Linked DNA regions of Struthio camelus. The protein of the gene in region 2 purifies or fractionates together with the protein of the main gene of each other region. This does not show direct contact. Links are inferred from orthologs where the notes say so. Each region holds a gene or a part of one and is shown on either strand. Other genes may lie near its edges. The genes, in order: RABGGTA and RAB5A.

Evidence for each region.
Region 1: the proteins of RAB5A (region 2) and RABGGTA purify together in Homo sapiens (affinity purification with mass spectrometry; 3 studies listed by BioGRID and IntAct, counting the BioPlex papers as one, with this or other methods). This does not show direct contact. The link is inferred for Struthio camelus from reciprocal best matches to the Homo sapiens genes RAB5A and RABGGTA.

What each region holds. Positions count from the first base shown.
Region 1 is NC_090970.1:679,115-683,023, reverse strand, and holds the start of RABGGTA (geranylgeranyl transferase type-2 subunit alpha), read left to right. Parts: upstream 1-1,074; 5' UTR 1,075-1,152; intron 1,153-1,180; exon of another isoform or gene 1,181-1,278; intron 1,279-1,380; 5' UTR 1,381-1,406; coding exon 1,407-1,409; intron 1,410-2,219; coding exon 2,220-2,330; intron 2,331-3,488; coding exon 3,489-3,613; intron 3,614-3,909. Other genes in the region: NOP9 (nucleolar protein 9), read right to left, coding at 602-767. UniProt on the Homo sapiens protein: Catalyzes the transfer of a geranylgeranyl moiety from geranylgeranyl diphosphate to both cysteines of Rab proteins with the C-terminal sequence -XXCC, -XCXC and -CCXX, such as RAB1A, RAB3A, RAB5A and RAB7A.
Region 2 is NC_090943.1:42,638,270-42,642,178, reverse strand, and holds the start of RAB5A (ras-related protein Rab-5A), read right to left. Parts: upstream 2,600-3,909; 5' UTR 2,343-2,599; intron 2,241-2,342; exon of another isoform or gene 1,957-2,240; intron 1,084-1,956; exon of another isoform or gene 926-1,083; intron 595-925; 5' UTR 522-594; intron 1-521. UniProt on the Homo sapiens protein: The small GTPases Rab are key regulators of intracellular membrane trafficking, from the formation of transport vesicles to their fusion with membranes.

The DNA.
Region 1 (3,909 bases), on a different chromosome or scaffold from region 2:
AACCCACCAAATCCCCCCAGGGGTCTTCGCAACCCCCAAATCCCCTCAAAAAATTACAAATCCTGTCAGAAAACCCGCCAAATCCCCCCCAGGGGTCTTCACAACCCCCAAGTCCTCTCAGAAAACACACAAATCCTGTCAGAAAACCCCACCAAACCCACCATGGGTCTTCACAACCCCCAAATCCTCTCAGAAAACCCATAAACTCCCTCAAAAAAATCACAAATCCTGTCAGAAAACCCGCCAAATCCCCCCCCAGGGGTCTTCACAACCCCCAAATCCCCTCAAAAAATCACAAATCCTGTCAGAAAACCCACCAAATCCCTCCCCCAGGGGTCTTCACAACCCCCAAATCCCCTCAAAAAATCACAAATCCTGTCAGAAAACCTGCCAAATCCCCCCAGGGGTCTTCGCAACCCCCAAATCCCCTCAAAAAATTACAAATCCTGTCAGAAAACCCACCAAATCCCCCCCAGGGGTCTTCGCAACCCCCAAATCCTCTCAGAAAAACCCCAATTTCCCTCAAAAAGCCCACAAATCCTGTCAGAAACCCCCCCCAAAACCCCTCACCTCCCCCCCCGCCCTCCCCACCGCCCCTCACCCAGCTCCTCCGGGCTCAGCCCCTCCTGCAGCGTCTCCAGGGCCCGGCGGAAATAAGCGGCGGTGCCGGGGTCCAGCCTCGGTGCCGGTACCGGTGTCGGTGCCGGTTCAGCCCCGGGAACCGGTCCCGGTGCCGGCGCGGAGCCTCCGCGGCGCCGCACACCCATGGCGGCGTGTGGAGGCGCCACGCTGTATCCCGACACGCCCCGCGCGCCGCGGCCCGGGAGGGGGTTATATCCCGGCGTGCCCCGCGCGGAGGAGGCGGGAACAGGGCTTGGCGGCCGCTGGCGGCTTCCGTAGAGCCGCCTCGGTGTATCCCGGCGTGCCCCGCGCGCCGCAGCGCAGGGAACTGTAGGGGGGTATGTATCCCGGCGTGCCCCGCGCGGAGGAGGCGGAAATAGGGCTTGGCGGCCGCTGGCGGCTTCCGTAGAGCCGCCTCGGTGTATCCCGGCGTGCCGCGCGCCGTCCCCGCCCCCCTCCGCTAGGCCCCGCCTCTATCCCATCATCCCCCGCGCCGCCCCGCCCCGCCAGGGACCCAGGTGTCCGGCTCCGGTAAAGCGCCGTTATTTCCCTTCGTTCATTATTTATCCCCGTTTCTCCTTTAAGGCGGAAGTGGGAAGGGGGGGGAGGCCTTAAGCAGGGCCGCTCTGTGCCGGCGGGAGGACCCCCGTCTCTATGGTCTCGGCTTGGCTCTCCCCCCCCCCCCCCAAAACCCGGACGCCTGGGCCCCTCCTGCCCGAGCCGGACGCCTGGGCCCCGCTCACTCTCTGTCCCCCGCAGGTGCTGGACCCCCCCGGCGAGCCGCCATGGTGAGACCTCCCCGATCCCACCGTCCCCCGCGGCGGGCGCTAGTTCCCCCCTCCCCCCCCCCCGCCGTGACCCCCCCCACACTGTCCCGTGATGCTCTGGGGCTCCGCTGCAGACCCCCGGCATCCCACAATGCCCTGGGGCCCTTCGGCCCCCCCCAGAATCCCATGATGCCCTAGTGCCCCCCAGTATCCCCCACTATCCCCCAGTATCCCCCAGTGCCCCCCAGTATCGCCCAGTGCCCCCCAGTATCCCATGATGCCCCAGTGCCCCCCAGTATCTCCCAGTGCCCCCCAGTATCCCCCAGTTCCCCCCAGTGCCCCCCAGTATCCCCCAGTTCCCCCCAGTATCCCATGATGCCCCAGTGCCCCCCAGTATCGCCCAGTGCCCCCCAGTTCCCCCCAGTGCCCCCCAGTATCCCCCAGTTCCCCCCAGTATCCCATGATGCCCCAGTGCCCCCCAGTATCGCCCAGTGCCCCCCAGTATCCCATGATGCCCCAGTGCCCCCCAGTATCGCCCAGTGCCCCCCAGTTCCCCCCAGTGCCCCCCAGTATCCCCCAGTTCCCCCCAGTATCCCATGATGCCCCAGTGCCCCCCAGTATCGCCCAGTGCCCCCCAGTATCCCATGATGCCCTAGTGCCCCCCAGTATCCCCCACTATCCCCCAGTTCCCCCCAGTGCCCCCCAGTATCGCCCAGTTCCCCCCAGTATCCCATGATGCCCCAGTGCCCCCCAGTATCCCCCAGTTCCCCCCAGTATCCCATGATGCCCCAGCGCCCCCCAGCGCCCCCAGTATCCCACGCTGCCTTGCAGCACGGCCGCCTCAAGCTCCGCCCCTCGGAGGCGCAGGCCGCCGCCCGCCGCCGCGAGCGCGAGGAGAAGCTCCGCCTCTACCGCACCGCCATGGCCGCCATCTTGGAGAAGGTGACCCCGCGACCCCGCGACCCTTCGCGACCCCTTGACCCTTCGCCCTCCCCGTGACCCTTGACCTTTCGTGACCCTCCCCATGACCCTTGACCCTCCCCACGACCCCTTGACCCTTCATGACCCTCCCTGTGACCCTTGACCCTCCCTGTGACCCTTGACCCTTCGTGACCCTCCCCGTGACCCCTTGACCCTCCCCACGACCCCTTGACCCTGCATGACCCTCCCCGCGACCCTTGACCCTCCCTGCGACCCCTTGACCCTTCATGACCCTCCCTGTGACCCTTGACCCTCCCTGTGACCCCTTGACCCTTCATGACCCTCCCCGCGACCCCTTGACCCTCCCCGTGACCCCTTGACCCTTCATGACCCTCCCCGTGACCCTTGACCCTCCCCGCGACCCCTTGACCCTTCATGACCCTCCCCGTGACCCTTGACCCTCCCCGTGACCCTTGACCTTTCGTGACCCTCCCCGCGACCCCTTGACCCTCCCCACGACCCCTTGACCCTTCACGACCCTCCCTGTGACCCTTGACCCTCCCCACGACCCCTTGACCCTTCATGACCCTCCCTGTGACCCTTGACCCTCCCCGTGACCCCTTGACCCTTCATGACCCTCCCCGTGACCCCTTGACCCTCCCCGTGACCCCTTGACCCTCCCCACGACCCCTTGACCCTTCATGACCCTCCCCGTGACCCCTTGACCCTCCCCATGACCCCTTGACCCTCCCCGCGACCCCTTGACCCTTCATGACCCTCCCCGTGACCCCTTGACCCTCCCCGCGACCCCTTGACCCTTCGCGACCCTCCCTGTGACCCTTGACCCTCCCCATGACCCCTTGACCCTTCATGACCCTCGACCCTTCATGACCCTTCCTGTGACCCCTTGACCCTTCGCGACCCTCCCCGCGACCCCTTGACCCTCCCCGTGACCCCTGACCCTCCCCGCGACCCCTTGACCCTTCGTGACCCTCCCCATGACCCCTTGACCCTTCATGACCCTCGACCCTTCATGACCCTCCCCGCGACCCTTGACCCTCCCCGCGACCCCTTGCCCCTCCCCGCGACCCCTGTGCCTTGGCCCTCCCCCCGCGCCCCCCCGACCCCTCGCTCCCCCCGGGCGCCCCCTGACCCCGGTGCCCCCCGGTGCCCCCGCAGCGGCGGCGGGGGCGGCTGGACGGCGAGGCGCTGGCGCTGACGGCGGCCGTGCTGGCCGCCAACCCGGACGTGGGCACCCTCTGGAACGTGCGGCGCGAGGCCCTGGCCCGGCCCCCCCCCGGCTGGTGCGTACCCCCCCACACCCACACACCATAGACACCCCCCGTACCCTATAGACACCCCCCTGTACCCCATACACCCCCCTGTCCCCCGTACACACCCCCCTGTCCCCTATAGACACCCCCCTGTACCCTATAGACACCCCCCTGTACCCCGTACACCCCCCTGTCCCCCGTACACACCCCCCTGTCCCCTATAGACACCCCCCTGTACGCCATAGACACCCCCCTGTACCCTATAGACACCCCCCTGTACCCCGTACACCCCCCTGTACCCCGTACACACCCCCCTGTCCCCTATA
Region 2 (3,909 bases):
ATGGGATTAAGCCTACAATGAATGAACTCTGTATTGTCAAATACAAAGACCACACGAGAAGTTCATGATAGTAAGTTTTAAATTGGAATACAGCACCACTTAAAATATTTTAGTACTTCATAGTTAATGACAAAGGTTTTTTTTTTTTTTTTTACCATGAACATACTTGTTTAATATTGTAATAATTTCTACAAACTTTGTCATACTTTGTGACCAGAAACAGAAATAAAAAATTCAGATCAATTAAAAAAACCCAAAACCCAAAAAACACCCCACCAGACTCTAAATAGCTTCTCAATTCAGGGATGAAGCATTTTAGACACAAATACGCTTTCAAGTTTCAGATTACTGGAAAATTGTAACTCATAAATGACTGCCTCTGGCTGACCGTATTTGAAATTCAGTGTTGATAGTGTCGAAAACAGTCATACAACACTGAAGTTATAGCCACTACCTACTTCAAGTTTATTTATACTGAATGATCCTGAACAATTTAAATAGGAATATCTAAATAAACTTACGTGGTAGGCACTCCTAACTGGCCAATTTTTTGTTATTCCCTTCTCAGGTTGACCAAATTAGTGTGGCATTGTCCTGTAGTATTCAAGATAGTGACAGGTACAACTATCAGAACATTTGTCATATGCAAGTCAGTTTATATTGAAACATAATGAGACAGTATGTTAAGCACATGAATCAACAGTACAGGAAATTCACAGCCTTCCAATTAAAGATAATAGCTATCTCGTAAGTTCATATGAATGATGTATATTATGCACTGCTTTGAGATAAACTAGTTTATCATATCAGAAAGACAGGTAATGATGACTGTATAATTACTGTCTCTAACCACCTCATTTCAGTTAACATTCATGTTGTCTTGACATTTCGTTCCATAAGGTAAAAATATGCACGAGTAAATTACCCTTACTGCAACTCTAGGAACTCACTGCCAAATGGGGGGTGGGGAATCAAGTATGTTATGCTTTTTACTTGCTCCGAGTGTTACTTGGACCGAGCTGATTAATTTCAGTGTTACTGTTCAGTCTCTCTTTTCCATTCCCAGGCTGAGAAAAGGTAAAGCTAAAAAAGGTACAAAGGTAAAAGGTTTAAAAAAAAGAGAGAAGGAAAAAAAAAGGAAAATGCTGAGGGACTAATTTTGTCTGTCATAGACCTATTGTTTTGAACACCATTTTGATAATTTTTGGTTACCCTACTCTCCTCTAAAGGATAAGAGAGCATTGATTTGTCTCTTCACCATACTATAGCTTTATTCCTCGTCCCAACCAAGTCTTATGTAGAACCATATATAAACTAGGCCTGTATTGGGGGAGGGGGGTAAGGAGCAGGGGTCCTGCCATCCCTGATCCAAGATTCCCTGAATGGCGATGTGTGGCCAGTGTATTTTCCTTCCCACCTTCTTCAGCGTCCCTTTCCAGGTCACAGGCAAAAGAAAGGAACCCGTCACCCATCCACCCCTTTCCTTTCGCTCAGGTAACTCGAAAGATACACCCCTTCCCCTGCAGGAGGGCCAGGCAGCGGTAACTCACCGCAGCAGAGGCCGCAGGCAGGGAGGATCCCCACTCCCCCCCTTCTCAACGGGATCCCCAGCCCAGCTCCTCCAATGCCCGCCGCCGCCTTCCCTCCCCCGCCGCTTCCTTCCAGCCGCAGGCAGGGGAATAAGGGGAAGTGGGAGAACCGGGAGCGCCATTTTGAGACGGGAAAAGCCAGACCGGCCTCCCCCCTCCGCCCGCCGGGCTGCCCACCGCGGCAGCCCACGCCGCGGCCCAACGCTCCCGCACCGCCCGGAGGCGGCGCGCACGCAGGCGGCCGCCGGCAGCTGCGGCGGAGGAAGCAGAGGGCTAGGAGCGACGGCCCGTACCCCGGGGGCCGCGCCGGCCCCGCCGCCCCGCCAGCGGGCCCCCCGCCCCGCGAGCCCCGCCGCCGCCTCCTCACCTGGCCGGGCCGCGGCGGCCGCGCGCGGGAGGGGGAAGGGAGGGGAGCCGGGCGGCGGCGGCGTCTCTCTCTGTCTCTCCGGCAGGGCGGGAGGACGAGCCAGGCCCGGGGAGGGAAGGGGAGGCTCGGGGGCTCGGGGCGGGGGCGCTGCCGTGCCTCGCCCGCGCCGCCGCCAGCTTCCGCCGCCTCCTCGGCCCGGACCAAAACACACACGCACTTCCGCCGCGGCCGCCGCCGCGGCCACGTCACGGCCCGCACGCGGCATGCGCTTCCGGTTCGCCCGCGCGTCACGTGGCCGCTCCCGCCCTCCCCTGCGTTTCGTTTCCTCCCGCCGCCCCTTTCGTTTTCCGTCCCGTTCTCCCCCCGCCCCGCGTCTGGGCCGTTACCGGGGCAACGCCGCGGGGCTGCGACCGCCCGCGCGGGGCCCCCCGCCACGGCCGCCGCGTGCCAGCCCGCGCGGGGGCCCACGGGAGAGGCGCGAGGAGGGCTCCCCTCTGCCCCGCCAACGGCCGGTGCCTCGGCAGCGACGCGGCGGTTGTGGCGCTTTCTCCACCCCACCGGCCTCGCTGAGGGCGGCCCCGGCGCCTGCCCGAGCGGGGCCGTGGTGGCGGCCGCCGCGAGCAGCGACACCCAGGCGCCGTGTCGTCCTCGTCCTCCCGGAGGTGGAGCCCAGGGAGGTGATCGCCCCCTCCTCCCCCCTTGCTGCGCTCAAATAAGGCGTCGTTTTCCCCAAGTAAATACGTTTGTGTTTAGTGGTCGGGCAAGGCGTGAGGGAGCCGTTAGTGGCTGAACGAAGAGGGCTTGTCAGGCGTGGCGGAAGTTGGGCCCTCGATTTGCAGGGAATGGCTTACGTCCTGCTCTTGTAAGTCTGAGGGAAAGAGTCTCTTGAGAACAGCTAGGCTTCCTGAATGCCTCTCTGCGAGAAACAGCAAGCACAGTGCAGCATGATGTGGCCACTGAGGTGCCAGGGCTGTGAACTGGATTCCCTGCAAACTCCCAGTTGGGTGCTTTAAAAGGACCAAAGCCCTAAGCCAAATGAGTTGAGGGAAGGAAGTACATAGAAAAAATCCCGAATACAATTGGACAGCTGCTTAACATTTTTCTTTAATAAATGAAGTTTATGGGATGAAGTTTTGGGATACGATCAATACTGGGAGAGTGCTAAAACTGAAGAGAATAGGTTACCAATGGAGAAGTGTCTTTATTGCTGGATAGGTAGATGCAAATAGTACGTCTCAATACATGCAAATATTGGATCATACATCTCATGCTGGAGATGGCAGTACATGTATGACTTTTGTTCTGTATTGCTGGTGTATTGTGAGAAGCGTGCTGTAATCCTGCCTGCCTTTTTGATCTCTGTAACTGAGGAAGGATGTTGAAAAGTGAGAGAGAATTCAGAAAAGGCTTATATGAATGATAAGAAGAATGGAAAACTTCCCTCACTGTGAAAGATAAAAAGAGCCCAATCTACTGATCCCATGAAAGAGAAGAGTAAGGGACACTTGGTCACAGATTATAAACAGGTTCCATAGGAAATGAAACAGGTATAATAAGTGTTTCCCTAATCTTGCAGGTTTAATAAGGTGTAACGGTTGGCATTTAGAGCAAGCCAAAGCAGAACTGGAAAGAAGTTTAGTAACTTTATCAGTTATGGTATTTAATCATTGGTACAATTTAATAAAGATTGTTTAGACTCTCAATCACAGAAAATGTTAAATCAGGATTGTATGTTGCTGTCCTCTCAAAATATGCTTTTGTTCAACCACATATTAAGTTGGAGCAAAAATTAAATTAGGAAAAGCCTATGGCCCGGGTTATATTGGAGCTAAAGGCCCATTATGGTAGTGGTTCATTATCACCTTAAAATATAGAACTTTAATGTTAGTTGTCCAGTTAGTCTTTCTGTCCGTGCAGGATTCTTCTGCTGTTGTTGCTGCTACTTTAGAAGTA